4 linked regions of the Alligator mississippiensis genome follow. The protein of the gene in region 4 purifies or fractionates together with the protein of the main gene of each other region. This does not show direct contact. Links are inferred from orthologs where the notes say so. Each region holds a gene or a part of one and is shown on either strand. Other genes may lie near its edges.

Evidence for each region.
Region 1: the proteins of PPP1CA (region 4) and RASSF8 purify together in Homo sapiens (affinity purification with mass spectrometry; 3 studies listed by BioGRID and IntAct, counting the BioPlex papers as one, with this or other methods). This does not show direct contact. The link is inferred for Alligator mississippiensis from reciprocal best matches to the Homo sapiens genes PPP1CA and RASSF8.
Region 2: the proteins of PPP1CA (region 4) and ACTB purify together in Homo sapiens (affinity purification with mass spectrometry; 3 studies listed by BioGRID, with this or other methods). This does not show direct contact. The link is inferred for Alligator mississippiensis from reciprocal best matches to the Homo sapiens genes PPP1CA and ACTB.
Region 3: the proteins of PPP1CA (region 4) and POLR2E purify together in Homo sapiens (affinity purification with mass spectrometry; 5 studies listed by BioGRID and IntAct, counting the BioPlex papers as one, with this or other methods). This does not show direct contact. The link is inferred for Alligator mississippiensis from reciprocal best matches to the Homo sapiens genes PPP1CA and POLR2E.

The regions. Positions count from the first base shown.
Region 1 is NC_081827.1:128,470,810-128,478,745, reverse strand, and holds the start of RASSF8 (ras association domain-containing protein 8), read right to left. Parts: upstream 3,010-7,936; 5' UTR 2,920-3,009; intron 1-2,919.
Region 2 is NC_081836.1:53,264,001-53,270,989, reverse strand, and holds the start of ACTB (actin, cytoplasmic 1), read left to right. Parts: upstream 1-3,980; 5' UTR 3,981-4,088; intron 4,089-5,770; 5' UTR 5,771-5,780; coding exon 5,781-5,903; intron 5,904-6,202; coding exon 6,203-6,442; intron 6,443-6,989. UniProt on the Homo sapiens protein: Actin is a highly conserved protein that polymerizes to produce filaments that form cross-linked networks in the cytoplasm of cells.
Region 3 is NC_081839.1:2,967,183-2,974,769, reverse strand, and holds the start of POLR2E (DNA-directed RNA polymerases I, II, and III subunit RPABC1), read right to left. Parts: upstream 3,004-7,587; 5' UTR 2,942-3,003; coding exon 2,885-2,941; intron 2,351-2,884; coding exon 2,176-2,350; intron 2,039-2,175; coding exon 1,923-2,038; intron 571-1,922; coding exon 490-570; intron 219-489; coding exon 160-218; intron 1-159. UniProt on the Homo sapiens protein: DNA-dependent RNA polymerase catalyzes the transcription of DNA into RNA using the four ribonucleoside triphosphates as substrates.
Region 4 is NC_081825.1:176,233,007-176,240,986, reverse strand, and holds the start of PPP1CA (serine/threonine-protein phosphatase PP1-alpha catalytic subunit), read left to right. Parts: upstream 1-4,973; 5' UTR 4,974-5,026; coding exon 5,027-5,081; intron 5,082-5,357; coding exon 5,358-5,489; intron 5,490-6,054; coding exon 6,055-6,285; intron 6,286-6,840; coding exon 6,841-6,945; intron 6,946-7,168; coding exon 7,169-7,392; intron 7,393-7,623; coding exon 7,624-7,758; intron 7,759-7,980. Other genes in the region: TBC1D10C (carabin), read right to left, coding at 1,894-2,090. UniProt on the Homo sapiens protein: Protein phosphatase that associates with over 200 regulatory proteins to form highly specific holoenzymes which dephosphorylate hundreds of biological targets.

The sequences.
Region 1 (7,936 bases), on a different chromosome or scaffold from region 4:
CTTAAAGCTTTGACTCCTGGAATCAAGAGATTGCAGAGGAAGGAGGGGGAGAGGAATTTCAGCTTTCTTAGAAGAAGAAAGGAGAAGTTACTAGCTTGAAAACATGACGCAAGCAGGTAATAACAACAACAACAACAACAAACACCTTAAATAAGGAGGCAAAGAAAAGTATACCCCTGCCCCTCCTCCCCACCAAAAAGGGGAAAGAAAACCCTCACAATTTCTAAGCCTCTCATGATTTTGGAAGTCTGGATTATAAGGCTTCGAATGCTTGAAGTAGGCAATGTTGTTTATAGTATCTACAAAGGAAAAACATTTGCTCAGGAATTTTGTGTATTAAGCTAGGGGAGTCTCAGTACTTTTTCCACACTTAACTAATAGGTCTCCTTTCTGCCAGGCACTAAACAGCCTATTCAGGAGTGGCTTGAGGTGCACACTATGGGGAAAACTTGCACTAATATCTGCACTGTGGATGAGCAGAAGGTCGGTTTCCATAACAGTATGCCAATGTTAAAATTCCCCATGTGCTCACACATATACTGCTGTCAGAGCACAACATTAACTGTGTACACAAGAGAGGTTTGTGCTTTCCCAACCGTACAAGAGCCAATATTAATATACGAATCCATAGGGCTACTTAACTAACATTCCTAAACAACCGTTAGGCAAAAAAACAGACTGATACATTTGCACCAAAGAATTTTCACCAAATGGTATTAAAAGTAGTTTAGAGTCATTACTGGAAAACTCAACATCCTGTGAGGGGGGCAGACGGTGAAGTTTAGGTAAAGGTCACATGCCATGGAATGGCAGCAAACAGGCACAGAAACTCAACTCCCTAGTCCTGCATTTCATTTAAAGCTAGATTTCATTCCCCTCTTAATACTACATCCCTTTTCAAAGCTTCCCTCAAGGAAGGATCAAAAATAAGCTGCTAGTCATCTCTGTCAGGTTGTTCATATTTCTGGACACAGCACCACCAGACTCCAAAAAGATGTACTAACTTGTTGCCAGAAGCATTTGCTGCCTTTCCATCTGTTTCTTATGATTCCATTCACAAATTTGTCTTTTGTCTCCAGAAAGCTTGACACAGAGAAAGACCCATCTTTTACCAATCTAAGCAACTAGGGGCAGCTTCTATAAGGATTTTTTTATTTGATGGGAAGGGCCGATTTAGAGGTTCTCATGTAGCTGTAGAAACCGTATTACACAGTTGTTTTATCCTGCTGGAGCATGTGTTTTTGAAAACTCCGTGGAGGAAAAATAGTCTTTTTCTGTTCACTTCCCCTTCCCCAAAGACAGCCTCATTTTGTCTTATATTAAAAATTATGCAGACACTACAAACAATATTGTCAATTAACTTATCTAACTTAAATGTATTTTAAAAAACACAATATAATCCACTGAGGAAAAAAAAGCACCCCCAACTCTTTACCTACCCATCTGCAGACCCGACCCCATGATATGAAGCGGCACCAAATTAATGTCCAATTTGATTACATTTCCCAAAGATATACATACAGTAGGGATAGCGCTGCATATACAAAATCAGTTGAAAATTTAAGAAAATAATCATCTTAATCCAGGTGTCTTTCCAGAAATCAAGGGGTAATTGATTTAGCAGTTCTCCACAGTCCAGTGCGTATTTAATTTTAACAAGCAATGCTGCTGAAAGATGATGCAGCCACTTGTAAAGCACAAGCCAGACTTCATAACCCACAATATATTTGGTCAGGTATTCAATTAGTTTCTAGTGACTTTTTTCTGATCATTATTATGCCAAGCTTTGCGATCTGTGCAAGACTCAAATGGAAGAGGAGACAGGTGCAATTCAGTAAGGCACAACAAAATGTGCACCATATTTCTCCTTTTTTACATAGGACACCAATCAAATCCACGAGCAATGCAGAGCTGCAATTTAATGTGAAGCTTTGTTGCTGTCTCCAAATGACATTTGATTGTGGAGAAAGATGGGTTGGCCCATATCAGAAGACTGACTTGGAAATTAAAAAAAAAAAAAAAAAGAAATCAAACCCATCTCGGTCTCCACAAAGTTTACAATGTACTCAATGCTGCATCGACCAATGACCGAAAAAAACCCACACCACCCGCCTGCCTAGCCTTAAAGCTGTTTTATGATCAAAATCAGACACCGTTCACTCAAGCATTCCTAGCAGCCAGTCCTAAAATCTGATCCATTTCCCCACAGGCAGGACGGATTTACTTTTAATCTTTTTCCTACTAGGAGGCGGGGAAATAAAAAAAAGATTAACCACAAAATAAATCCTGGCTGTCTGGAAGCAAGGGGCGGGGGGGGGGGGGGGGGAGGGGGGGGGAGCCAACACAAAAACACAATCCACTTTGGGAAGAAAAACTCATTTTGTTTTCATTCGGGTGACTGGGGGAAGGCAAGAGAGAGCCCAGAGAAGTTTAAAAAAAAAAGAAAAATAAAGAGCTACACATTCTCCTGATGGGTAAAAGTGGCTTCGAAACTGTCTTGCCAAGGGTGTGGAAAACACCCCTGACTTTTTAAGAGGGGAGCTGTATGGAGAGGGACAGAGATACCAAAAAAAAAAGGGGGGGGGGAATAAAAGAGGGGAGGAAAGGGAGCTGGGAAAGAAAGGAGAAGGAGAGGGGGGGTGAGCCGCCAGGAGGAAACAGGGTAGAAGAGGAAACTGAGGGTGGTGGAAAGGAAATAGAAAAAAAAGAGAGAGAGAAAGCAAGGGGTGAAAAATACCAGGAAGAAGAGAAAGTTGGAGGTGGGAAGAGAAGGGTGGGGGCTGTTAAAAACCGAAGAGAGGGGAAGTGGGGAAAGGAGCTGGGGGAGACGGAGAAGAGCCGAGGGGCGAAGGGGAGGAGAGGAGAGGAGAGGGCCGGCCGGGGGCCACGGGGGAGGGCACGTCCCGAGTCCACACTCACCGCGAGCGGCGGCTCCAGCACAGCGGGTCCTCAGCTTTGCCCACACGGCTCCCGACTGCCAGCTCCCCTCAGCTGTGCGCGGGGCACCTCGCCCCGCCCCGCCCCTTCCCGGCCCTGCCGCGGCCCGAGCTGCCTGGTAACGGGGCCGGGCGCCACGGCATTGTGGGAGCGTCTTAAAGCACCAGTGGCGGCCGCGCTGAGGGCAGGGGCCGCTTCGGGGGCAGAGTGCGTGTGAGTACGTGTGTGTGTGAGAGAGAGAGCACGCGCTTGTGCAGGGCGGACACGCACAGAGGCGCCCGGGGCATGGCGGCAGCGCGGCGACTGCTACAAGGGGCGCCTCAGCAGGACGCACCCGTGTGCGCGCGCGCGTGTACGTGTGCATGTACGTGTACTGCTGTGTGTGGGCGTGCGTGTGTGAATACACCGGAGTGTGTTTACGTGTGGGTGTGGAGAGACAGATGATAGATACATATAGGGGATATATACATGTTTTTGAAGAGGGGTGTAGATATGCACAAACACACACACAGTGGGGTGGAGAGTCCCAGCGTGGGTGTTCGTGTGTATATACACAACTCTATACACACGGACTAGATGACACGCGCGTGTGTGTGTGTGTGTATATATATATATATATATAGCCACTGGGGTTCTCCACCCCAATATATAGAGAGAGGATATATACATATAGAGCAGAGGTTCTGAAACTTTTTCTTATTGTGTACCTCCTTCCAGATTTATCAGCTGCCTTCATACTCCCACCAGCATACATTTTATATCTCAACCCCTTAAATGCCAATTATTAGTATAATATATATATACAGGGTCTTCATAAAATCCTTGTGCACTTTTAAACTTTAATAACTTAGGTTGTAGGTATGATAGAAATAATCTGTTAACGGCATTTAAAAGCAAATTTATTAAAGTTTTAGGACAACTAGAGTACACAATGGTAGACTTCATAAGTAATAATGAATTAGTTCTTATTTCAGATCCTTTGACAAACAAAAAATGGCTACTGTAGACGAGAAGGTAAACTGTCGTATGGGTAGCAGAATTGAAGTCCATATCAGCTGTGAGAAGAAAATGGTGGTTATGTTGAAGTCTAACATTGTGTATTCTAGTTGTCCTAAAACTTTAATAAATTTGCTTTTAAATGCCATTTATAGATTGTTTCTATTATACTTACAACCTAAGTTATTAAAGTGTAAAAGTGCATACAGACTTTATGAAGACCCTGTATAATATATATATGGGTGTGTGTGCGTATTTGTGTGTGTATGTACCCCCCTACCCCCCGGGGTTACATCATTTTCTCTAGGTGTAACCCTGATGATGTTATCTGCATTCTGTGCGTTCACCTTTGCATATCACTGGATGTAACCTTTGCACATGAGTGTATTTATGTATATACTGTACAAGCACATACTCTGTAAATATAAGTCCCAGTTTTTAAAGAAGGAGAGGGCTAACAGTAAGCTGGGAAATATTTTTCTGTGAGAAAAAGCAACAAAATATTTTTGTTATTTATTTTTGTAGAGAAATAGTTATAAGAATAATAAAAAGTCCAAACCCAGAAAAGCATTTTTTATTGGGTTTTTTTTGCATCCTTTTGTATTATTTTTAATACTTTAAACAATAGATTTTTTTTTCTTTAGAGGGTGTTCTGTGATTATTCCTGCTTGCATTTGAGTAATATTGCAAATTAATCCTTCTTTAGGCTCCATAACATAGTCTGTTCTCCCTGTGTGTTTGAGGCTCTAGTCCTTCAAATGACTTCATGCAAGCAGGGCATTGCACTTGCATGTATCCCCACTGAAGTCATCTGCAGAGTTTGCAGTTTAAGGAGCCTTATGGGACTACTCAGGTGTTTAAATTAAACACAGGCATATATGTTTGCAAGGTCAGAGTTTTCAGTTATAATCTCTTCCTCTTATGTCTCGTACAGCAATGAAGACCATTGTCGCAGGGTACTTAGGTGCCCTGCTCGTGAAGAGGGGAAACTGATGGGGAAAGAGCCCTAGCAGGGAACAAGGAGCCCAGCTGTGGGTTGCCAGGGCAACCAGGGGAGGTCAGCTGACTGAAAGGGGTAGGGCCTGGCTCCCTTATAAACCCTAGGAGCTAAGACCAGAGGTAGTCCCTGTCAGGAGCCCTGGAGGAAGGAGCTTTTTGCTGTGGAAGAGAGGAGATGCCTGCTGAAGGAGCAGCACATGACCTGGCTGTGGGATGAAGAACCCTGGTAGGCAAAGCATGATTATAGCCGGGTGGCTTCTGTTTAAGTTATAGCCGATGGGCTTGCATTTTGTGTTGCTGTTTATCACCGGTGGTTTGGGTGAGGCTATTAGGGTTTGGAGGAGACCTCATAGGGGACACACAGTAGTGTGGGAACCCCAGTGCCAGCAAGGGTGCAGCATTAGGGGTGCACAGACCCCAGCCCCAGAGAGGGGGCATTGCTGAGAAGCCCCAGTGTGGGCGTGGTCAGCCCTGGAGAAGGGGGTGGCATTGCAGAGAAGAGCCCCGAGAGGGGGCACAGAGAGAGAGAGAGAGAGAGAGAGATGGGGCTGTCAAGAGCCCGAGTGCCAGAAAGGGAGTGGAGACAGAAGGAGACTGAACAATGTCTATTCCAGCTGCGAGGCTTGGGGCGTGGTGAAAGGGGTGGTTGGAGCCATGCATAGCCCATAGGGCTAGGGTGCCCCGGAAGCACCCATTGTAGAACGGGACCCACAAGGGGTCTGGGAAACCACGGGGTCTGAGTCACCACTAAGAAGTGACCAAGAGGGCATAAGGCAGCCTCCCATACATTTAATCTCCATCAAAGACGTGGCGGGTGAGAATCTGAGGGTGCCCTTGGGCCAACTTGGCACAAGAAGGGGGCCTTGAGGAGATCACGGCCCTCCTGCAGGACCCCACCGTGACAACCATAAATAATAACAGAAATTCAGCAAGGATAAAAGTCCTAACAAACTATATATTTCTTGACAAAAAAGACCTTGCTTTTAGTCCCTTGTCTGACTTCCCTCCTTCCTCTGCCCATGAAAGGGAGAGATGCATTCACTTGACCAAGCAACCTGCTTGTGTGGACTGGTAAAGTTGTGCATGACTGGATAGGGGAAACGAACAATTTCTTATGCACCTCTGGATTCAAGGACTAATTTGCAGAAGCACTGAGCAGATGCATCTACCATGGACTCCCAGTGACAACTGGTTGATTGACGTACTTAATTTTTTTTTCTTTTAGCTGGGAAATGTCACACAACTGGTGTTATAAATCGTTGCTTTGGGAGGGAGGAGGCCTCCAAGAGTCCTTAGAATGAAAATGATCTTTGTGTTGACATCTCATCTATTCCTGTCCAGTTTTTCATCAACTGTTGTGTTGGTCAGTCATTTCTCCATATTAATATGATGGCTTCTGTTCCCAACATGAGTTTATGAATACAAACAGTACGAAATTGAAAGGTATACATATTATGAATAGGATTATATGAAGATTTATAGTTATGTCCTTATCTGGTGTATATTAGCATAGCTCCATTATAATGTTCCATTAAGTTTTACCTCTGGACCCTGTAACTAAATGCATTTATAACCCTTATGGTTGTATCCAAATGTGAACAGAATATAACTTGCCAAAGCATCACCAACTTGTAGGGTGACCAGCTTTACTATGCGTTGCTCGTGGCTTTGCCAAGCCACAACAGGGTGAAATTAGCAAATCTGGTTAGTTTCGCACCAGGGCACAAGGCTAGTCCCAGAGCAGTGGACTATAATATTTTTTTTTTTTTTATGTCAATTTCATCCTACTGCCATCAGTGATTTTGGGGGGGGGGGGGAAATAACCCAAAGACCAGCAAGTAGTCAATGGAGTTTTCACTGGAGGAAAAGGACTAGGATCCAGGCAACAGAGACTGATGGAAAGGTAAAGTGAAAATGCTTTGTTTTTCTAAGGAGCCAGAAGGCTCTGGACTTGGAGAAGAAACCAAATTCCAGAGGATTGGAAAGTATCTTATTAACAAAACATTTGCTAGTGTAGCAGGCTTGCCTTTCAGAGCTTGGGTTGAGTCCCAGGCTTGAAAACTTGCTGTTTTAATTGGTGGAGCCCATCTACCAATCAGGAGGCAGCAAAAGGAGTTAAGTCATTCCCCTTTCCTGAGAGAAGTGGGAGAGGAGCTGCTCCCCCCCCCCTCCCCCTCTCAGACCTGATTGAAGACTGCAACACTCAGGTCTGGAAGACTTCAGGGGCAGAGCCCTGGAGAGTATAAAAGGAGCTACATGCCCAGCATGAGGGGAAACGCATCTGGGACAGAGAAGATCAGGGCCTAGAAGAGCTGAGGAGAGCTGCTCAGCAGGGTGAAGCAGTAGCCCAGGAGCACCCCTGAAGATTTCCATCAGTGGGGAATGGCGGACGGCTCCAGCAGCTAGGCTTTCGGCGTGCAGCATGGCATCCAGACCCTGGGAGCTGCGTGAAGCGGCTTGGGTCTGCAACTTCTGGTGTGTGGCCAGAGTCATGGTGCACAGGCTGGTGCATGGAGTAGGACCTTTGGAGCGCTTGGGTGGCTCAGGTCCTCAACCCCCAGAATGAGGCTAGGAGCTCATTGCAGGAGGCGCTGAATGGAGGTAGCCCAGGCCTTTGACCCATAGCAAAAGGTCTAATCCAAGGAGCCAGACGGTGTTTGAGCTACTGAGCCACCAGATGGCACCAAGCCAGAGGCCCCAGAAGCCTTGCATAGAGAAGCCCTGTTCTAGGGGACAGCACCCCCTCCCCCCAAGCCCACTACAGGTGAGAGAGTAGCTTGGCACAGAGGATGAGGGCCACCCTCCAGGCCTGGGAGCCATGAGTTGCAGGGAAAAGATGATCCACTTTCAGGAGCCCTTAACTAACCAGCGAGGACTCCTCCTCCCCTGTGGGGGAAGTCCCACTGGGAGGAGCCCCCCTAAAGTTACCAGCTTCCTTGTAGGGCTTGGAAAAGCCCAAGGGCATTGGGCTTTCCCTTTGGGATTAAGTTTATCTTTGGGGTTC
Region 2 (6,989 bases), on a different chromosome or scaffold from region 4:
ACCCTTCCAGCCTAGTGTCGGTCTAACCTAGAGGGATTAGGCCCCTTGTCTGGTCCTGTGGGCTGGATGAGTGGCACCGGGCCAGTCCACTGGCTGGATCAGGCCCACAGACGTCCCCCACCCACATGCCCGATCCAGTGCATATAGCACCTGCCCGGGCTGGTTTGGGATGCCAGCCCAACTGTGCATCCCCTGTAACACAGCCTGGGACCTGGTCCCAGTGAGTGCCATGGGTGGCACGTGTCCGTGGTACTCTGCACAGGGTCAGTCTGGCACAGTGCATGGGTTAACAGGGCAGCACCAGGGGCTGGATGATGGGGCTCTGTAAGCTGGATCTGACCCATGGGCCGGATGCTTGACATCCCGATTCAACCTGTACGTATTCCACGGCCTCTCTCAGTAATCCTCAGAGGACAGTGAGAACAATTGCTCACCATCCTCTTTACAACCATCTTATCTTGCTTTCAAAGATTGTTCCCTAGGCCTCCCTTTCAGTCTTCTTTTCTCCCTCTTGGCCTTCTCTAAATTGTCCCAATTTTCCAAGCGCTCCCCATTCATGTTTAGTGATGAGATCCTGGCTTTCTGCTCCCACCCACAGTGTCCATGGCGTTCTGCCTGTCCCCTTTCTAGGAGGCACTTGTAGCACAACCCACCAGCAAGCTCCATACACACTCCACCACAGCCATTGGGTGAGTTTATGCAGTGGGAGCATTAATGCGATGCCTTGGAGAGTTTGTTCAGCCACAGCCCCACATGGATTGGGTTATCTGCGTGACCTGCACCCTCAGGAACAAATCCCCTTTGTAGTCAATGCCTTTCAATCCTGGCTTTTCTCCACCTCGGAGGAAGTGAGAGAACCGGGGACACTTGCTGCTCGTCAGGGGCCGGTTCTTGCAATCTTCATTCAGATTAAATTCTCATGGCACAGGGCGGACGCATTATTGTGTTTGGGGTATTTCCAGCTCGGGTACCTTGCTCTTTGCTGTAGCTGTGAGGTTAGGCAATTCTAGCTGGCTGGTAATTCCCCCCCACATAACCATCTTACATCTGCCATTCTCCCACCTCACTTGTTCTCCATCAGTCCCCAGAGATGGCTGCAAGGAGACTTTGGAGACTCCTCTCCTCAGGTCCTCAGCCCCTTCCCAGAATTGCATCTGGCCCTGCTGATCATCAATAGCTTCTCGCCTATTGTCCTTTGCTGGAAGCCCCCTGAGACCGCCGGCTCCTCATTAATGCTGATCTCCCTCAGGTCCCTGCTCCCTTCAGCCTTTGTGCGGAGAAGGGCGGTGAAGCGGCATGGCAGCCTCTCCTAGGGCTGGAGTGCGCTTCCCCCTGCCTCACCGCATTCACAGGATGTTTTTTGTCCCCACCTCATCCCTGATGGACACTTCCACTTAACCTTCCCCCTTGCCTCATCCGGCCCCTGCTGCTCTGCACAGCCACCCCGCACCCGGGCCTTGTGGTTGCTTTTATTTGACATAATCCTCTAATTAATAATATGCAAGGCTCAGCCTTTCCAAAGAAGGGCAGGGATATTAATGAAGTCTCTGGGAACGGGCTAATTAACTGCAATGATCCCCGTTTTACTGATAGGGAAGCTGAGAGTCACGGAGCTGGAGGGGTTTGCCCCACGTCACAGAGACAGACATGGGCAGGCAGGGTTTTACCTCCGGGGCTCCTGGTTGCACACCCCCTGCTTTGCCCATCACGTCGCATGGCTGCCTTCTCCTCGTGTTAAAGAAAACCTTGAGTTTTTATAAAAGCCTTTGTGTTCTTCCCTGTAGCTGGACATTTCTGATGAGGTACTTTTGCCCTTGTATGTTCTCTAGAGGAGATACAGGGCAGGTCGGTAGGGGTATGGGTTTAGGGGTAGCACCTCTTTGGAGGAGCGTGCGATTGCCATGCCCTTTAAGAGCCCGTGCATAGCTCCTGCACTGGGTCCACTGGGCCCTTTGGATTCCCCTCCATAGACTATGCTTGTGCCATAAAGAAGTACGGCTGGAAGGACCCTCCAGAGGTCTTCGGAGCACACCCCGGTGCAATGCGTGTGCCCCTTCGTGCGCCATGCTCCTTCCAGATGCCGCTTGTGTTGCTTTGGGTGAATCGTGATACCAGGCTGGACACCCGCTGCGTGCCTCTCTGTCCCGACAGGGTGCGTGTAGACCCTTTGCAAAGGGCCAAGTTCTGCTCTCGGTTCCATCAGTGCCTACCTGGACGAGCTCCACTGACAACTGTGGGGATCCCTCTGGATCATCAGTCGCGTGGCGGTGTCAGGATGCTCCTCTCACAGACAGGACCCAAAGCAATGCTTGGCTCAGTGCCCGCCTGCAGTCGGAGGTGGCACAACGACTAGACTGCAGCAGGTGCGGACCCCCCATCTGAAGACATGAACCCCTTGCAACAAGGGCCGAGAGTCGAACAGCCTGTCCTCGCCCTGCCACTATAAGGTGAACTTCTGTTTCCAGAGGCCTTTGGTCCCTGCAGGCTGTTTTCTGGGTCCCTCAACACAGGGAGAAGGAAGAAGCCAAAGGCCTGAGACCCCACGTGGCCCTTCCCAGCTCCCCTGGGAGCCCTGGGGCAGCTGGGCAGGCTACATGCCCCACACGGGCTGCTGAGGAAGTCAGCTGGGCTCTGCATAGGGATCCAATAGGAAGAGAAACCAGTCCGGCCCATCCATAAATGGCTTGTTAAGTCCCACACAATTACCCCCACCCAGGTAATTGCAGAACTGTGCTCTACAACTATTTGCACAGTTCCCCCTGCTGCTTTCTCCTCCCCGGTGTTGTGCCATGTCGCGCAGGGAGGGTGACACGCATTTCCCTGGGGAGATAACGCCCTGACCCCCAACTCTTCCAAAAAAGGACTCACTTTACAGGAAGGAACCGTTCAATGGCCAAACCCTCCAGGTTTCACCTTATATGAATGAATGTCCTGCACACACACACACACACTCAGGTAGGCCTTATTCACATCAAGTCTCATTGATTTCCTTGTGACTCAGCTGGCAGGGCAGGGCTGGGCCGTCATCAAACAGCACCCCCCCCCCCCCCCGCAACTCCAGATGCCCTGCTAACCCCATTCCCTACTGCATCGCATCCTCATCCAAATGCACGCTCAGCTTGGCGCCCCACTTCAGCAGCACACTGCCCATCCCCGTGTCACTTAGAAATTCATGTGTACCATTTTCCAGGGGCTGTTATTTTTGCTGAGAGCCAATATCCAAGGCACAACCTTGCTGCCAGGTTGAAGCCCGCGCTGCAAAACTGACAGCAGTCTGCAAGTCGAGGCCCACACTCCCCCACTGCTTCATTGACTCGATTTAATCAGTTCGTGTTTGCACCGCGTCCTAGAGAGGCGAAACGCTTTGCAGCCCCTCGGCTCCTGGCTCTTCGCGGGGTGACCTTGCCTTTGTTTGGAAACGAGTCTCCCGTACGATACCGAAATGCAGACTTGCAGAAACACAACCACACGAGGCCTTGCACCAGAATGGAAGAGGAAGCAGGAATTGGCAGGACCCCCCAAATCCCTGCTGCTCCGACCACCCCCATAATGGAAACCTGGGGACGGCATGGCACTGCCTGCCAATGCTCAACATCATCCATTTCCACCCTGGGCAGTTGGAAGGGGGTTAAGGGCGCGCTTTCCTGGGTACCAGGGTGGGCTCATCCTCCCCCTGCACTGAGTGCTGGCTCCCCAGGGTTGGGGTTTTTTTTTTGCACGTGCAATGCACCCCAAGGCTTGTTTTGCATGTGCAACTGCACCCTCCGGGCCCGGCCCGGCCCTGCCCCTTGCCCCCTGCCCGGGGGTGCCGGCCGGCCGGCGGGGTGCAGCAGCGGCCGCGGCAGCGCAGGGAGGCGCCGGGCCCGCGGGGGAGGGGGGGCTGCTGCAATGTGCGCGCGCGGCGGTGACTGAGCGCGCCGCAGCCAATCAGCGCGGCCCGTTCCGAAAGTTGCCTTATATGGCGATGGGGCCCGGCCCGCTCGGTCCTATAAAACCCGGCGCGCGCGGCCGGCTGCTGTCGCCGCGAGCTGCTCCCGCCTGCACCGCCAGCCCCAACCCCAGCACCGCTCGACGCCTGCAGCCGCCCGGTGAGCGCCGGGCCCGGGCCCAGGGAGGGGGGTGTTTGCAGGGGGGCATGGGTGCGGGGTTGCATGGTTTGGGAGGCTCCTGGGGTTGCAAAACCACCACCTCCTTGTACCCCGACTGTGCATGGGGTGTTGCAAAACCTGTACCCTAACTGTGCATGGTGGGGGGTGCTAGTGTTGTATGGTGGGGTTGCAAAACCTGCACCCCAACCATGCATGACTGGCTGGTGCTGGGGGTGTACCACCACCTCTTCCCTGTACCCCACTTGTGCATGGTGGGGGGTGCAAGGGGAGTGCTGGTGGTTGGGGTTGCAACACCAGCACCCTTCCTGTACCCCAGCTGTGTGTGGTGGGGGGCGAGGTGTTTGTAGTGCGTCTCTTAAGAGGATTTGTTGCCGGGCTGGGTGGGGAAGAAATGGTCAGAGCTGGGACGGAGGGGGTGTACCCACTGCTGGCCCTGCTGCAGGGCTGGAGGTGCCCGGCTCCCTTGCTAGGAGCTGGGCGCACGCGGTGGGGGTAGGGGAAGGCAGCCTTGGGTGCATGGGGCGAGCGGAGCAGCCGCTCCTCCCACTGCTGGGGAGAGGGTCTTTGTCTGGATGGTCTCTGGGAGGTGGCTGCCCCCCCATGCGTGGGGAGGGGCTGCCCGCAGCTGCTGGCGGGCGCTGGGTAGGGTGGGGTCTCTGCACCCCAGTGCCTGGCTCCTAGGCTGGGAGGCAGGGGTGGGGGGTGCCCTTTGCTCCAGCAGTGTTGTAGGGGAGCTGCCCTGGCACGGGGGCAATGCCCAGCCGCCCTGCCCCAGCTGCAGGGGAGGACTCCACTCCCTGGTGCCCTTGCTTGGCACACGAGGGTAGAAATGGGCTTGGCAGTTCACTCTCCGCTGGGTCTGAGGTGGCATTTGAGCCTGGCCGGGGCTGTGCCCCAGGGGCCCTCCCAGCTTGCAAGGACTGTAATGCTAGAATAACGCTCTGGCTGTTTCAGTGGGGCGTGGGGAGAAAGGAGGTGCTCCAGAGCCAACTTGCTGGGCAAGCTTGGCAGGGCGGGTCTGCTGCTGCCCCACTTGATGGAGCACAAAATGCACCTGTGCGTGGCTGCCTGACTAGTTGCGCTAGTCGGGGCTGCGCAGGGCGGGGAGCCGGAGCCCAGAGCAGGGTGTCGGGAACTTGCCCTTCGCAACTCCTCCATTGTCACGCCTGCCTCCAGACAGACACCCCCACAGCAGTGCTGGGAACAGGGAGTGGCCAGGCCCGGCCTCCTTTGAAGGGAGGGGAGTGGCTGGCAGCGAGCGGGGGCCCTCCCAAAAGCTGGCTCCACGCCGTGCCACTGGCTCCTTGCAAAGCTCGCTCTCACCATTGCCTTTTATGGTAATAATATGAGACTGGAGCAGGGACTTCCTTTGTCCCAAATCTGTGCAAAGGCAAAATATGCAGCACTGGGCTCCCCCTCGCGGCCGGCTGGAGAAGAGGCGCAGAGCAAACAGGAAGCTAGAGAGGAAATGGGTGGGGTAGGCGGCCGGGTCTGCAGCTCTGTCTTGGCAGGAGCTTTACCACATGGGGCTTTCCTCCTCCTGGCAAGACAGGATGAGCGGTGGTGCCTGGCAGCCCTGACAGACCACGGTCTAGGAGTGCCCACGAGCTACTCAGAGCAGCAACTCCAGCATGCTCACATTGTCTTGTGTTGCTTTGCAGTTAGTTCGCCATGGATGATGATATTGCTGCGCTCGTTGTGGACAATGGCTCCGGTATGTGCAAGGCCGGCTTCGCTGGGGACGACGCCCCTCGTGCCGTCTTCCCATCCATCGTCGGGCGCCCCAGACACCAGGTACGTGGGAGGGGAGGGGGTGCTGCCTCTTCTACGCTGGAAACGGTTTCCAAGAAATGGAGTGGCTCCAAAGACTCCAATTCCTAGACTGGAGAAAAAGCAACTCATTTCCGTTCTAGGGACACGTCCTTCCTTAATCAGTTGATGGCTTGGTTCATCCAGCAATTCCCCCTACTATAAGCCACTTGAAAAGCTGGCTGGCCCCTAGCCCAAGTAACCAGTCTGGTAGACGTGGTAGGATGTGGGTGTTTGAGTTTAACTAATGGTAGCCCCTTTTTTTATTATTATTATTTCTTCAGGGTGTGATGGTTGGCATGGGCCAGAAAGACAGCTATGTTGGTGATGAGGCCCAAAGCAAAAGAGGTATCCTGACCCTGAAGTACCCCATCGAACACGGCATTGTCACCAACTGGGATGACATGGAGAAGATCTGGCACCACACCTTCTACAACGAGCTCAGAGTTGCCCCTGAGGAGCACCCTGTGCTGCTCACAGAGGCTCCCCTGAACCCCAAAGCCAACAGGGAAAAGATGACACAGGTGTGTACTGTGGCCTGAGCCCCCCACCCTCTGCCACTTGGCTCTAGCCTGTGGGGAAGCTGCTGGCCAGCCCTCCTCCCTTCCTGTCTTCATCTTTTTTTCCCCCCCTCCCCTTTTTGCTATTCTTTGCAGGGTTTTCCTTTCCTGACCTGAGCCTTCTCTTTGCTGGATCTTGACAGGTTTTATTTGTTCTTCTAAGCTGGTTTCCTCTTGCTGCCTTGATACTACCAACTCCTCTAACTGCTGTTTCTGACTAGACACTAACTGTTCACCTGTCTTGAGTGATTTCTGCCATGTAGCTGTCTAGTTTTTTGGGGGGTGATGGAGAATGTGGCTCTCTGAAGCAGCTGTGTTGCACCTGGGCTTTTGCCCATGTTCTTAACTTCTTCCCAGGACTCGGACTTGGGTTGATGGGTTTGCTGTGGTAGCCCAGAACTGATTGGCATGGCCTCCCATTCCAGTGGACCCATGATTGTTGTCTCTGGGGACATGGGAATGGTCTAGCAAAATGACACTTGCATGACTTGCAAACAATCTCTCACGAGCC
Region 3 (7,587 bases), on a different chromosome or scaffold from region 4:
AAAATCACCAGTGGGGTAAATCAGCTGGGCCTGCTGCCTGCTCTGCAGGCTCACAGCAAATAAAAGCACTACTGTATACACCACAAGTGTGGTAGTTTCCAGCACAAAGCACATCTGTGCTGGCAGGGGCTTCAGGGAGGCTCAGAAACAAAAGGATACTATCTGGCTAGCAGCTCAGTGACTTCTTCCTTTGTCATGACCACGTGCTCTGGAACCAGCTGCAAGTACAGAAGCAGGGAAATCTCAATAACCCAAGGAGAGAAAGAGAGAGAGAACGAACACATGCAAGTGAGCGCAAAAAACATTGTTTCCTGTAGTGACCAGTGTTAGGAACACAGGCTTAGGAAAGACTGGAGTAGCTATTAAATGCAATGCCAGCACCCAACAGCACAAAAGCACACCGCTCCAAGGGCCTGGAGCCCCCAGACAGCTCCAGGATGTGACTGACCATGCCCAGCTCACACCGATGTACCCAGGCACTGGACTCACCTCATGTTCAGTGATGTTAATCAGCAGCTCTTGCTGGAGGAACTGCTCCAAGATGTACTTGGGAGCCATGTCTACCAGGGACTGAAAGAAAGAGAGTGAACATCAGCATGGGCTAGCAAGCCCAGCGCACCAGACTGAGCTGGTCCCGGGTTTATTCAGACTGGGGCTAGAGTATGCCATTCCCATCATATTGCCTTCGCTACTTCAAGGGCATGCGCAGGTGTGGGTAACAGACCTCTCCACCAGCAGCAGACAGGTGAGCACCACTTCCCCCATCACAGCCTGACGTTTGCCCACTTCTCCCCTTGCTAAGCCTTCTGCTCCCTACTGCTCTAGTCACATTTCCTCTTGTCGTTCCTTGAATCACTCCCACCCTCCTCACTTCTTCTGTCCCTCTTGGGCAGCAACGCCGCGATAAGGGAACGAGTCTCATTCTTGCTGGGATTTTCCTGGCCCACTACCGCAGTATCTGGGCAGTAACGCACTTCACTGCCTGCAAGCTTCGCTGACAAGGAGTTAAGAGCAGTATCTTGTACCTTGCAGAATACAAAGTTTGCTCAAGTCAAACCCCCGAGGGGTAGGAAAGAGACTGTTGCAGGGAGTACAACCGTGGCATGTTCCCTAGGTATTTCTAGCGAGCCGAATCAAGAACCCCTCACACAGCTGATCTGTAAGAGCAGGGTCATCTCTGTGGCATATTAAGTAAGACCCATGGAGAGCCTTGCAGTAATTGCTGATATAGTCGAGCAACCTCCGCTGAATCCAAAGGGTATCTGTGCCCAGCGGGGCTCGTCCAAGGACCGGACTCGAGCACAGGCACGTGCCACGAGTCCATCCCCACTGCACCCCCCCCGAACGCCTCTGGGGCCAGGCCATCGTGTACGTTTGCACGGACTCCTCCGCATCTACGCCAGGTGCTTCTTTGTTTGCTTCGTAAAGGAAACTCACAGGAGCCACTTCCTCACACAACTGCAACCCCAGCCTCTGATGCTGCACCGCGGCCTCACCACACATAACAAGCAAGCGCCTTTCAGGCCATGCCGGCTTTAACAAACAAAAAAGCAAAGCTCAACCTTGCCCCGTAGGGCAGGGGGCGGCGACATTTTTGGGCAGAGTACTGAAAACACTCACGACTCCCAATGTGTAAGACGTCGGGCGGACGGCGGGGGAGCTACAAGGGGCCCAATCCTCGCTGTTGCCGTGTACCCACCATCCACCCAGAGGCCGAGCAAAATGCCCGCGAGCGCCGCCCTCCGGGGTAAGAGCAGTGCCCCGGCCCGCGCGCCGGGCTCCGGTCTCGGCCTCTCAAGTAACGGTCGCCGCTTTTACGGCACCGACGTGCTCCACGAGGTCGCCGCGAAGGAGGCGCGACCCGGCGCGTCGGCCCCCGAGAGCCCGAAGGCCGCCGGCCCCCGGGCAGGGCAGTGGCGCACCTGCTTCGCGGACGGCGTCATGCCCTGCTGCACCACGATGAGGGCTCTGGTGATGTTCTCCTCCTGCATCCTCTGGCAGTACAGCTTGATGGTCTTGATCCCCACCTTGGGCTCCTCTGAGAAGAACAAAAAAAAAAAAAAAAAAAAAAAAAAAAATCAGGCCAGGCGGGATTTAGGAGAAGGGTCCGTTTCCTTTACGAGAGCGTGCGTCCCCCCGCCGGGTTTCTAACAGAGAAGCGCCGCGGAGCCTCACCGGGGAAGAAGACGAACATCTGATCGGTGGGGTCGTCGTTGTGAGCCACCAGCACCGTGAGGTCGGCGCGCCTCGGCCTCCCCTCGCTGGGCTTGTCGCCGTACTGCCCCTTGAACTCGTCCAGCGTCTGGTCCAGCTCGTCCTGCGTCACCAGGTAGCCGCGGTCGTGGCAGAGCTGCGGGGAGCGGGCGCCGTCAGCTCCACGAGGGGTGGGCAGGGAAACTGAGGCACGAGGAGGAGGAGGGGGGGGGAAACTGAGGCACAGGGATGGCAGGGGGTAAGGGAAACTGAGGCACAAGGAGGAGGAGGGGGGGGAAACTGAGGCACAGGGATGGCAGGGGGTAAGGGAAACTGAGGCACGAGGAGGAGGAGGGGAAACTGAGGCACAGGGATGGCAGGGGGTAAGGGAAACTGAGGCACGAGGAGGAGGAGGGGGGGGAAACTGAGGCACAGGGATGGCAGGGGGTAAGGGAAACTGAGGCACAAGGAGGAGGAGGGGGGGGAAACTGAGGCACAGGGATGGCAGGGGGTAAGGGAAACTGAGGCACGAGGAGGAGGAGGGGAAACTGAGGCACGAGGATGGCAGGAGGTAAGGGAAACTGAGGCACAAGGAGGAGGGGGGGGGAAACTGAGGCACAGGGATGGCAGGGGTAAGGGAAACTGAGGCACGAGGAGTGTGGGGGGGGGGGGGGGGGGAGGCCTGGCCCACCTGCATGATGGTCTTGCGGATCTTCCACAGGCGGTACGTCTCCTCCTCGTCGTCCATGCTGCCCCCGCGGGCCGCACTGCGCAGGCGCCGCCGCTCAGGCCCCCGCGCGCGGGTGTCCGCACTAGTCGCCTGCCCGGCACAGGGCAGGCGGCATTTAAGGCGCGCGCGTGACAGGCAGTGCGAAGGATGCCTACGCCAGCGTCTGGCTGAGAGGAGGGGTCCTTAGGAACAAAGGCTCCTGGGAGATGTCGTTCTCCCGTAACAGAGGCCTCTGCCGCCCCCTGCAGGAGCCCCGTGGGGCCGCCCGTTTCTACAGCCGGGCAGTTTTACCCCTTGCGCCCGGCGCTGCTCGGAATTGAATGCGCGAGTCACCCGCTAAGTGCAATTTATCTGTAACACGTCGTCAGGGCCTGGGGTCGCTCGGGGCAGCTGCCAAGCCAGGGGGATTCTCCAGGCATCCTCCCTTCAGATGGATAAGCACCCCCACCAGCGCAGAGCGAGGGTTTGGGGAAGGGGGTTGCATATGGGGAGGTGCGCCAATCCCGTAAGACACGGCGCATCTTTTCTCTCCCCTTTAAAAATATACTAGAAGATTCAGGAAAACCCCAGAGACCGTGGGCGACGTTCATTTGGTTTAAGATGGAGATAAAAGGAAATATCACTCTATTGAAAGGATTTTAAACCAGTCTGCAGGGCTGCGGACAAGGAGCTTCGTTACCAGAAGGCTTCAAACACACCGAATCCGTGCTGAAGTTTATGTCCATCTCCTAAAAGAAGAAAGAAAGTGGGTGGAAGGGGAGCTGTTACCTTTCTCTACCGACCCCGGACCACTAGAGCACCCAGTCGCGGCGCGAATGAGAGTATCTTGCCACCCTGGTACTCGAGGGAAGCCAGTGCATTAGCAAAGGCCATTGAGAGCGTGGGAAGAGCATCATTTTGGTTCGTAAAAATGCAGGGTTTCCACGCGCGCCGTGGTGATCTCGCTCTGCTGCAGCGGTGGAGCGGGGGCAGAACGCACGCTCCAGCGGGGAAAAGAAAGGCAAGGCAAGATTAAGGGGGCGAGCGTTCTTGACCGCTGGCTCGCAGCCGGGGAGGGAGAACTGGTGGTAGCTCCTGGTCCCCAAACGAGCGGAGGATGGACAGGAACCTCCACGGCCTGGGCTGCTTCTTGAGGATCTTATTTCTGCCTCCAGCAATGGATCTCATGCTCTGGAACCAGCTGGAAATACGGAAGCAGGGAGATCTCAATAATGCAGGATCAGAGAAAGAGTGGGCATGCAAGCGATTGCAAAAGCTACTGTTTCCTGCCACACGGGTACAGGAAAGACTGGGGCAGCTGTACGCGGGGTGCGGGCACCAAGGGCACGCTGTGCCAAGGGCTGGGGCCCCGGACAGCTCCAGGACACGGCTGACCGTGCCCAGCTCGCTCCAGTGTACCACGCACCGGACTCGCTTAGTGCTCAGTGAGGTTATTCAGCAGGTCTTCCGCAAAAGACTCCTCCAGGGTGTCCTTGGGAGCCATGTCTACCGGGGCCTGAACACAGAGGTTCTGGGCATCAGCACGGGACAAGCCAGCCAAGCAAGGAGGAAGAGGAAGGGGGGGAAACTGAGGCAAGGCGAGGAGGAAGGCCTCAGGCGAGCCCAGGGCCGAGTCCCGTCCCCGCCGCCCGCGCCGCCCATGCCCTGCACGTGCCGCCCTCCGGCCCCACTGCGCATGCGCTTGGCCGCTCAGGCCCCCGCGCGCGGGTGTCCGCGCTAATCGCCTGAGACCGCCGCCCGCGGCGCGGCGCCCCCAACCTTCCCGAGCCCGCCCCGCCGCCCGCGGGTAGACGTCCCAGGCCGCTCCGTTTATGGCGCGCGGGTGACAGGCGGCGGCAGGGACGCCCACACCAGTCGGCGGCTTTTGTATGTGGGGCCCCAGAAGCAAAGGCTCCTGGGAGATGTAGTCCTCCCATAAGAGAGGTCTCTGCTGCCCCCTGCCGGCGGCCGCTGGCACAAGCCCTAGGGGCTGCCTCGTCGGCCCGGTGAAGGGCGAGGCAGGTGGTTGCACCTCTTCCAGCCCTGCCTTGGGAGCTGGCTGCCTCCTTTTGCCAGCTGGGGAGTCATTGTTATCCTGCAGTCATTCCTTTGCATGCGGGGCTGGTCGAAACGTATTGCACAAATCACTGAAGAACTGCGTCATGTACGTAACGTGTCGCCAAGGTCCTCTGGGCTCCAGCAGCTGCAGAGCCGGGGGGTTCTGCGACGCACTGCCCCCACCCCGTCCCAACTCCCACATCCTCCTTTCAGCTGGATAAACACCCCGGCGCTGGCGGATCCGGGATTCTGGAAAGGGGGTTGCACGTGGGGAGATGCATCGTCCCATAGACCAGTGGTTCTCCGCCTTCTTTGCACCACTTGTTTGCACACATCGACGGCTGGTCCCAACCCAGCGCCCCTCACTCCCGACCCGCTGCCCCCCAACCCCAGCCCCCCGCGCGTGGGGCAGAGGGTGAGTACGCGGGGCAGGGTGGCGTGTGAGAGGTCTGGGGGGGCCCCAAGCAGCCTCTTGCAGGCTGGAGCTCTGCCAGTCTGGAAGGGAACACCCACGCCTCCCTCCTGGAAAGGAGAATCCGTTTTGAAAGTTTGTTTGCAACCCTTTCCTGTATTCTTGCAACCCACTTTTGGGTCACGACCCGTGGGTTGAGACATGCTGCCAGAGACCACAACTCATCGTTTTCTCCAGTTAAAAATCCCCTGGATTTACAAATATGCCGGGGGCCTTGGGCTGTGGTGTTCAGTTTAAGCTGGGAGCTCAAACGCATAACTTTGTTGGAAGGAGTTACAAATGAGCAAACACCAGCTTCCTTACCAGGCGCAGGGAACAGAGAGCCCAACGGCAGAACATGAGCGAGCTTGACTGGTGGAACAGCCTTTTCTTGGTACGGACTGAATACGACGGCACCGAAGGATGGAGCCGGGGACGGCCCTGCTTGGAGCAGGGGTTGGCTTAGATGTGACCGCCCAAGGTCCCTTCCAGCCCTCGTTTTCCATGATTCTGTGAATGGCAAGACAAAGAAGCGAGGGTCGTTAACACCCGGGCATGAAGAGCTGAGAAGGGAACGGGTAGATTATAACGTGATAATCGTGCCACAAAGTGACTCCCTCACTGCTGCCTGAAAAGAAATGCCACTGCTACAGCCAGGCAACTGGTTTTAAACTTCCGGTGCAGCAGGAATCAACGTGGGGTGCGAGTACACCCCCTGGATCCGCCCCTGCCCCTGCCCCCCCAACCCCAACGCACACACTCTTGCTGGAAAATCAGGACCGTTCCCCACGTTTCAAGTGCAACTCTAGGACATAACACCCGTCTTATCTACAACGTTGTTCCTTCCGTTCTGTCCCACCGTCTCGTTCGCTGGTGGCACACGGAGCCAGCAAAAGATGCGAGATCTCAGGGGAACTCAGGGGAAGTGCCTAGGGCAGGGGTGGGCAACACGCGGCCCGCCAGGCCATTCTATCCGGCCCGCGGGGCCCCTAAAAATTTAGAAAATGAATATTTATCTGCCCCTGGCTGCCTGTCATGCAGCCCTCGACGGCCTGCTAAAACTCAGTGAGCGGCCCTCCGCCCGAAATAATTGCTTGCCCCTGGCTTAGGGCCTGAAAAACCTGCCCAGAAGCATCAGGCTAAAACCCGTGGTTAGGCAAATAAGAGCAGTGCCAGCATGTAGCAACGCTGCCTGTATGACACAATGCCTCCATACGCCGCGCTGGTGTTGCAACGGCCTGTTGTAACGCAGGTGCTATCATGCAGGGTTTTAGCAACACGCTGTTTCACAAAGCCCCCGTGTCACAACAGCGCTTGATTGATCATCATCTTAGACATCCTGTTAGCATTTCACCACAAAGTCAAGCCCACCGCGCTGCGGCATGGAGATACTTTTTAACCATAGAAAATCTGATTTATTATGTAAGATGTTATCATCCTATGGCTAGAGACTGCCTGCACAGGAAACAGCTCTCCTGGGGACTGAGCTGCAGCTCCGGGATAACTAGGAGCCATCACGAACGTCAGACTTCCTGCCCCAAACATAAAGGTGCCCGTCTCCGACCTGCCTTTGCTAAGAGCCACAAACGCCTACCAAAGGACTCCACACGCTCCCTGGAGCACGTAGCCCGTACGTGACAGATATTAGTCAAGAGACAGGTAGTTAACCACGTTAGTCTGAACCTAGGCAGAAGGAAGGGTAGAGATGCACCTTACAGACTAGCTGAATCAGAGATGCATACTCTTGCGCGAGCCCAATCTCATGTCATCATCAGTCAGGTTACTTCAGGTGCTGCGGGAAGGAAGATGCATGGAAAGTACCATGCTGGGAACCTATCCCGAATGTCTCAGACATGATTAGCCCATTGCACCATCCCATTGCACACGACGATCTAAATTCCTGCTCCTGGACATGTGTCACTGCACAGGAATGGCCCCGGTCGAGCCCAGCTCTGATGATTTTGTGATCAAAGGAAAAGCTCTGCATGATCTAAACGTGAATGCACCTCCAGTCCCTGCGGCAATTTGAACCGGCTAACACTTCTCCTTCACGGGGCGGGGGGGAGGATGAGGCCAGTGTTTTAAGCGTGGCCAGTTTGTTTTCATTACAGTCCGGAGCATCCCAGCTCCGGGGATTTGATCAAAGGACCGTGCCCTGGCAAGCGCCAAGTCTGCA
Region 4 (7,980 bases):
CTGAGGGCAGGGAGTACTTAAGTAAGCGATGACCACGCATTGATCGGGAGTACTCTTTGAGTAAGGAGCGAGTGAGAATTGAACAGGGAGTACTCGAGTAAGGGACGAAAAAACATTGAATAAGGAGTGCTCAGTGCTCCTCAAGTAAAGAACGGGAAAGGGCTGAGCAAGGAGCACCCCTTTGTAAGAGATGTACAAGCACTGAGCAAGGAGTAGTCCTTGAGTAAGGGAGGAATAACTGACTGCAGAGCAAGAAGTACTTGTGTCAGGGATGAGTATGTGTTGAACAGGGAGTGATGATCACTGAGTCGTGAGTAGCACATGAAGGAGTATCTAATATGGATAAGTAGCTGCTGGATAACGAGCGAGCAGCAAGTCACCATGAGCAAAGACAAAGAGGCGGGTCGGGATTTCCACCTGCAGAGTGCCCCTCTCAGACAGCGAAGGGATTGTCTAGGCAGCATTGGGCCTGCAGGGCTGGGCATGTTTTGCGGGCAGGGATCAGCTGTGGGGACTGCCTTGGACCCTGTGTATGGGCAGCTGGGGAGGAAGGTAATGGGGCTCTGCTCTCTGCACCCCCAGCAACGCTGTCTCCTGCCCTGGGCTCCATTCCCGCCCCAGCAGCTGCCAGCGCAGGGCAGGGAGGGGCGGGAGATGACGCACTGACATCTCTAACCACACACTCAGGTTGCCATGGGGACCAGTGACAGGATGTGGTGAGGCCGCTCACTGCTGAAATAGGAAGTGTTAGCTAACGGGTGTGTGCAGCCCTCAGCACGTAGAGCCTCCTCCTGGGACAGACCTGGTGCTCCTGGCCCTGTTAGCTCATCCCCTGAGACCCACTTGCCTGCCAGAAACCCCCCAAGGGACCCAAACCAGAGAAGACCTCAAGCTGGGTCCAAGCCAAAGGGGGAATTATGGGCAGTGAGATGCCATCATCTGTGGGGCTGGGACAGGGCAGAGTTACGGATCCTGTTTCCCAAGGGCCTGGAGAGCTCTGATTCAGATTGGATGTCTCTATCTTGAGCTCAGCCGTGCAAGCTGGCGGGATGCAGAAGGTGGAAGTTTGGAGAGATCCTACCTAAACATTGCCATCCCAGACAGAGGACACTGAGCCTCCTGCATCCTTGACTGACCTGTTAGCTAGAAAATATAATCCCTCCCCACCCCACCCCCACACACACCTTAACTCGTTTGCAGCATCCTATGTGTTTATATAGCAGACAGAGCTTGGAATTTCACCCCTGGTTAATCACCACTAAAGGGCACGGCACTAACCAGCTGCATCCCTGGTTAGCTGCAGTTACAACAGGCTCATTTGTTGTTAGCATCAGGCTGAAGCAGTTTCCTGGTAGATGCTCTCATAAGCCTCCTCTCAGACAACAAGGAGAATTTCACCCTGACTTCCCCAGGGAGCTTAGCTTTCCCAGATGTGAGCTGAGCCTGTCTAGCTCAGAGCCAGGGTTCTCTGCCTAGGGGGTGAAGCTGGGAGGGCCCCTGGGTCTAGCAAGGCTAAGAGAAAGGGGTTCAGGTACAGCTGATTTGTGGCTATGGGTGGTCTGTGCTGAACCACCAGCACTCAGGTGGGCACAGTGCCCTTCGGTAGGTTTTTGTGCAATGGGGCTGAGCAGGAGCATGCTGGAACTCAGGCTCAGAGCAAGGGATTGCCTTGGTTGGGTTGTGAACCTGGACACCAGGTCCAACAGGCACAACAGTGCCAGGGAGCTAGAGACCATGTACAGAATAGGACCCAGGTGTCCAAGAGAGAAGTCCAAGGCATCCTATCCCACACCTGTAGGGTCTATACTTCTCTCAGTGCACAGCAGGCTGCCTCCCCATTGCCCCAGCACTCCCAGTTGGGAAGGCTACCCCTGCCCCCCACCCCCAACTCACGCATTCTGGGCACTGCCACCCCCGATGAAGCCATAGCGATCAGTCTGGCGGTATGGGGGAACCCCATTGAACTCAGAGTCAGAGCCTAGTGAGCTGGAGTCCTCATGGTGCTCCAGGGCCAAGCTGAAGGCATCCGACAGGTCCTCCAGGGTGCTGTGGCTGGAGGAGTCAGCAGATGACATGGTGCTGGTCGCCATGCCCACGAGAGCACCCTGCAGGAGGGAGAGAGGGCCACAGTGAGTGTGGAGCAGGACAGCCCAGGACCAAGCACCCAAAAGAGACCCTCACATAGGCTCTCACCACAGCCCACCCCACTCTCTCCCCAAAGGAACTATCCACACCCCACCTCCTAAGCCTCCCCCTCGCCCCCCTAGGCCCTGCCCACCTATGCCCCTGCACCTCACCCCTCCAGACCTGCCTGTCCACAGCTCACACCCTCTTCCCTTCCTAGGTCTGTCCATTACAGGGCCTCCTTCCCCTATCACTTTAGTCTTTCTGTTTGGGGTGTTGCAGCCTCTTACCCACAGTGTCTACCCTGGGCGCCATTCCCCATGGGGTCTTCTTGCACAGCATCCCATGCCTTGTGCCCTCTCTGGGTCCGCCCATTTCCCCCAGCACCCCAGCACAGGACCCCATCTATGTGTGTTCAGTGTGTATGGGACATGCTGGGGCTGTCTTGCTGGCCATGCAGCATGTGTCCGACCCCTCACCCATGCAGGCTCCCCCACATCTATTGGCAAGCCCTCATCTCTAAATCTCCCTACACTCAGTGCTTGGGGAGTTTCTCAGAACATCCCCTCGCGTCTGTCCAGACACCCTGTGCTCCAGTCTTCCCCAGGATCCCACTCACCTTCCTTGGCCTCTAACTCGTGCCCTGCGCTGGGCTTGGGGGGCTTTCCTGATGCAGGATGCTGTGTCCGTGTGTCTGTCCCTTGCTGGCACCTCAGCCCCGGCGTGCGCCTTGCAAGCTGATTTCCTTCCCACAAGTCATTTCCTCCTGCACCTGATACTGCTGAGGCGGCAGGCAGTGTGTGTGTGGGGCGCAGGGGCCCATGGGAGAGAGCACGCAGGGAGGGGGCAGGTCCCCTAGAGAGGCAGTGCATGGTGTGGGCAACCGTCCTAGGGGGGGACACATGGCACAGGATGGTGGCAGGCACCCTGGGGAGTGCATGAGGAGGGCAAGGTCCCAGGAGTAAGCAGCCAGTGGGCCTGGGACTCGAGGCAGAGGGCACTCACTCTTTCCTTCCACCTGCTGACTGAGGCAGTACTGGAGTGACTGGGAGCTCCTCCCACAGCTATCACCCCCTACATGGCACTGTGCCAGGGGTGCAAGGCAGACAGCGTCACAGGGGGTTGTATGGTGGTGATGGCCTTAAGATCATGAGCCAGGCATTGACATGGGGTGCTGAGGGTGGTGCTGAGCCCCCATGGCAGTGTTGGATACTAGCAGTGGTGGGCAGTGCCTGCAGTCATTGCCAAGCAGTGGTGTGGGGGTGGGAGCCTCCTGCTGGGCACTGGCACTGTCTGACCCCTAGTGACACTGGGTGGCAGCCCTAGGCATGGGTGGATCTAGGATTTTGAAAAGTAGGGTACAGGTGGTGTGGCACATTGTCACATACAACACAACACTCTTTTTCTCCAACTAAAGGGAAACTAGAAGCTTTACTAATATGCTACGGGGCTAGTATGACAGTATTCAATTTGAGATCCAAGCAAAAGTAAACAGGGTATAACTGCTGGAATGTGCACTGATTTCCTAGATGATAGGAAACTTTTATCTTTAAAAAAGCACAGTAAATTTGACAAAACACAGTCATAGTCAAAAGGTATCTCATCAGTCACAAAGCCATCACAATTCAATCAACCCAAGTCCAGCATTCCTGAGCTTCTTGACAGTGCCTCCAGTACCTCACTGTCAATCACCTGAGGTAGTATGACCACACAGAGGTTAAAGTTTTTTGGCTAGAGCGGAAGAGTCTGCGAGGCTGTGATCCAGAAGAAAGAGGTGACTAGGCCTCTTCTGGATTAAGATCCAATGTAGTCCCTGCACTGGTCTGCTGCCGGGGCCGAGATCACTTTTGAATGGCAGTGTGCAATGGTGGGTGCATACCTGTGCAATGCACTGAGGACAGGACACCTTATGAGAGTCCACTATAGCCTCCCAGTGGGATGATCTTGGCTACACACCTACTTTATAGAAATGGTGGACACCTCCTAAGGGCAAGCGAGACTCGGGGACATCTGAACCCCAAGACCTCTGGGCTTGGGCCTGTACGTAGGATGCCAGCCAATGGATTTGGGGGTATCTGAAGCCTCAGGCTGAAGAGTCTGGGATGGAGGATACAGTGGTAGCGCCACATGGATTTGAATGACTGAGTTCGGCTCAATTGATAGGCTTTGGAACTGATTTGGCAAATTCAACCTGAAATATGAAATTAAAAAAAATTAAAAAGAGAGAGAGAGGCAACCAGGCAGCAACATTGCAGAGCAGTGCTGTAGCAATGAAGTTTGGTGCCCGGGGCAAAGCCCACAGCGGCAGTTTGCCTTTGCCCTGCGCACACATCTGGGGGGCACACGCCTCCCACCCCAATGCTTGCCCGGGAGTGAACGCAGCGGCGAGAGCCATCCTCCCTCCATCCCCCCCAAAATGAGCCACTTGCAGCTCCGTCCCACTCCCCGCCCCGGGTGAGCAGCACCTGTCAGTGCCCCTTCACTTTGGTGCCCAGGGCGGTTGCCCTGCTCACCCCCCGCCCCCCTTGCCCCAGAGGATGGGCTGGGGCGCAGGGTGGCCAGCTGGTTGTCCCCTGCCCTCTCTTGATACGAAACTGGACGCCTTTACGTCCTCTATAGAAAACTCGAGGACATAGAGGCGTCGGGTTTCGTATCAAGAGAGGACAGAAGTGTCCTCTACGGCGGCCACGGGGGAGCCCGGACCACTATGACCCCTGCACTCACACGACCCGCCGGCTGGCTGCAAGGACACCCCCAGGCCGCAGCGGGTGCTGCGCAGCGGGGCGGGGCGCGAGGCCTGGCGGCTCGGGGACCCAGCCCCGCCCCGCCCCGCCCCGCCCGCAGATGGGGCGGGGCGGGGCGGAGGCAGCAGGCGGGGGAGCGCAGGCCGGGCCGGGCAGCCATGGCGGACGGCGAGAAGCTCAACCTCGACTCCATCATCGGCCGCCTGCTGGAAGGTGCCGCGGGGCCCGGCCGGGGAATTGAGGCAGGGCGCGAGGGGCGGCCCCCTTGGGGCTCGCCTGAGCCCGCGGGGCGGGGGGGCACGTGCTGCAGGCGCCGGGATGGGCCTGGGGCGGGCGGCAGGGCTGCGTGTGCACATGCATTCGGGTGGGCGTGGGTGCTCACGCGCGTGGGTGGGTGGGCGCCTGCATGTGTCCGTGCGTGCGGGGGCGGGGAGGCGCTGCCCCCCCCCCCCCCCCGGTGACCCGCCCCCGTGGGCCGCCCCGCTGCAGTGCAGGGCTCTCGGCCGGGCAAGAACGTGCAGCTGACGGAGAACGAGATCCGTGGCCTGTGCCTCAAGTCGCGGGAGATCTTCCTGAGCCAGCCCATCCTGCTGGAGCTCGAGGCGCCGCTCAAGATCTGCGGTGAGCCCCAGGGCCCACCGCCACCCTTGTCCACGCATCTTGTCCCCCAGCCCCAGCCTTAGGGCAGTGGGTTCCCCTGCGGGAGGTTGCAGCGTGTCCTGGCTGGTGTTCGCAGGGATCGGAGCGGTCCCACCTGCACCTTACTCTCCATTGCTCCCCCCAGTCCAGCCCTAAGGGTGGAAGGTCCCCCTGCGAGAGGTCCTGGGGGTCTCTTGCTGAGGTGGGCTGGGTGTGGGGATTGGAGCAGCCCCCCCACCCCCACACACACACTTCTTTGTCCCCTATTGCCACCCTCACCCCATTTGTGGGGGTGGTGGGTTCCCCTGTGGGAGGTCTTGGCAGGTCTTAGGAATCCCTTGTTGATGCTGGCAGGGTAGGGGGGTCAGAGTGGTCCCCTGGCTCCGGCTGCAATCTGGGGGATTAGGGGAGGAGGATGCGGGATCTCTGGGCAGGGCTGGTAGGGACAGCATAGGTTCCCTGCTGGGCTGGGGGTCTCTGGGTAGCTGGTAGGGAGGTTGGAGAAGGTCTGTGTACTGAGGGTGCCATTCCCCCCTGCACTCTCCAGGTGACATCCATGGGCAGTACTACGATCTACTGCGGCTCTTCGAGTACGGGGGCTTCCCACCTGAGAGCAACTACCTCTTCCTGGGTGACTACGTGGACCGGGGCAAGCAGTCATTGGAGACCATCTGCCTTCTGCTGGCCTACAAGATTAAGTACCCTGAGAACTTCTTCCTGCTGCGCGGCAACCACGAGTGCGCCAGCATAAATCGCATCTATGGTTTCTACGACGAATGTGAGTGTGATTTCACCCCCCTCCCCCTGCCCCTATCTACCTGGACGCATGACTGTTCCCATTTGTGTCTGAGCCTGGGCCGTGCTGCGAGTATGCAAGCATCAACTGCATTTGAGTGCTAATGACCCTGGGCCCCCACTATTGCAACCTCTGCCTGCCTCCAGGTGTGAGCATACACCTAACTGCAAATGTGCAAACATCAACCACGCCTGTGCCTCATACTCGCATCCCTGCAGTTGAGGGTATCAGCTGCATCTCTGTCTTGTGCACCAAATTTCTTACCCTACCACACTCCCAGTCACAAGGGTGCACTCCCCAGCTGCAAGCATGTGGGCATGTGCTCTGGGGGCAGCTGATGTGGTAAGTGTGGTGCCTTCCAACTATGAGGGGGCTGCTTGTCCCATCTCCTATGGTGGCCCAAACCATGTGACTCTCTGACCTGGGTCTCCCTAGAAGGGAGTGTGCACCCCGGGAAAGGCAGATACTCTTAGGTGGTGGGAGCAGAAGGGGCTGCTGCTGTGGTGAGGCTCCCATCCCAGATATTGTGCTTTGCAGGCAAGAGGCGCTACAACATCAAGCTCTGGAAGACATTCACTGACTGCTTCAACTGCTTACCCATTGCTGCTATTGTGGACGAGAAGATTTTCTGCTGCCATGGAGGTGGACAGTGCCCAGGCCTCTAGACCTTGTGATCGGGAGGGGGAGAGGGAGTCCTTTCCCTTATGAGGCACTGCTGGGGTGGGGTTTGGGGGGAGAGGCTCCGCAGGGCTGTGTAGGGGTAGAGGGTTGCTGTGGGGGGGTCACTGGGGATGCTCTCCAGCAGATCAGCACCACCCCCTGCTGGGGTATGATGTCTCACAGCCTTATCCCCCTTTCTTCCCAGGGCTGTCCCCTGACCTGCAATCAATGGAGCAGATCCGGCGGATCATGCGCCCCACGGATGTGCCAGACCAGGGCCTGCTGTGTGACTTGCTCTGGTCCGATCCTGACAAGGACGTGCAGGGCTGGGGCGAGAACGACCGTGGCGTCTCCTTCACCTTTGGCGCTGAGGTTGTGGCCAAATTCCTGCACAAACACGATCTGGACCTCATCTGCCGGGCACACCAGGTACCCTGTACCCTGAGATAGAGCCATATTAGGGGAACTCAGGGGTGGGCTAGCAAGGGGTTGCGGGTCAGAAGTGAAGAGCAGAGCTGTGAAGAGAGCCTGTGGTTGGGATGGCAGAGAGCTATAGCGGAGGAGGCAGAGCCAGGGCTCCTGTGTGGGTTCCCTGCATCTGGCAGAGGGAGGGCTAAGTTGAGTCCTGGTGCCAAGCCCTTCGTTGTCCTTCTGCCTTAGGTGGTGGAGGATGGTTATGAGTTCTTTGCCAAGCGCCAGCTGGTGACACTCTTCTCAGCCCCCAACTACTGTGGCGAGTTCGACAATGCAGGTGCCATGATGAGCGTGGATGAGACCCTCATGTGCTCCTTCCAGGTGAGCCTCAGGCCAGGGCTCTTCTTCCCCACCCCTCCCTGGCAACCATGGCAATGAGCCAAGCTCTCACCCTACGGACACAGGCTCAGAGCTGGGTAAGGGTTGAATTTCCCTTCCCCTGACCCTGCAAGCATCTGCCTGTCTCCTGTAGAAAACCTTGATGAGGGAGGAGTTGGGTCTTGGAGTGGGGTTTCAAGAGACTCCCAGGGGCTCTGAACCCTG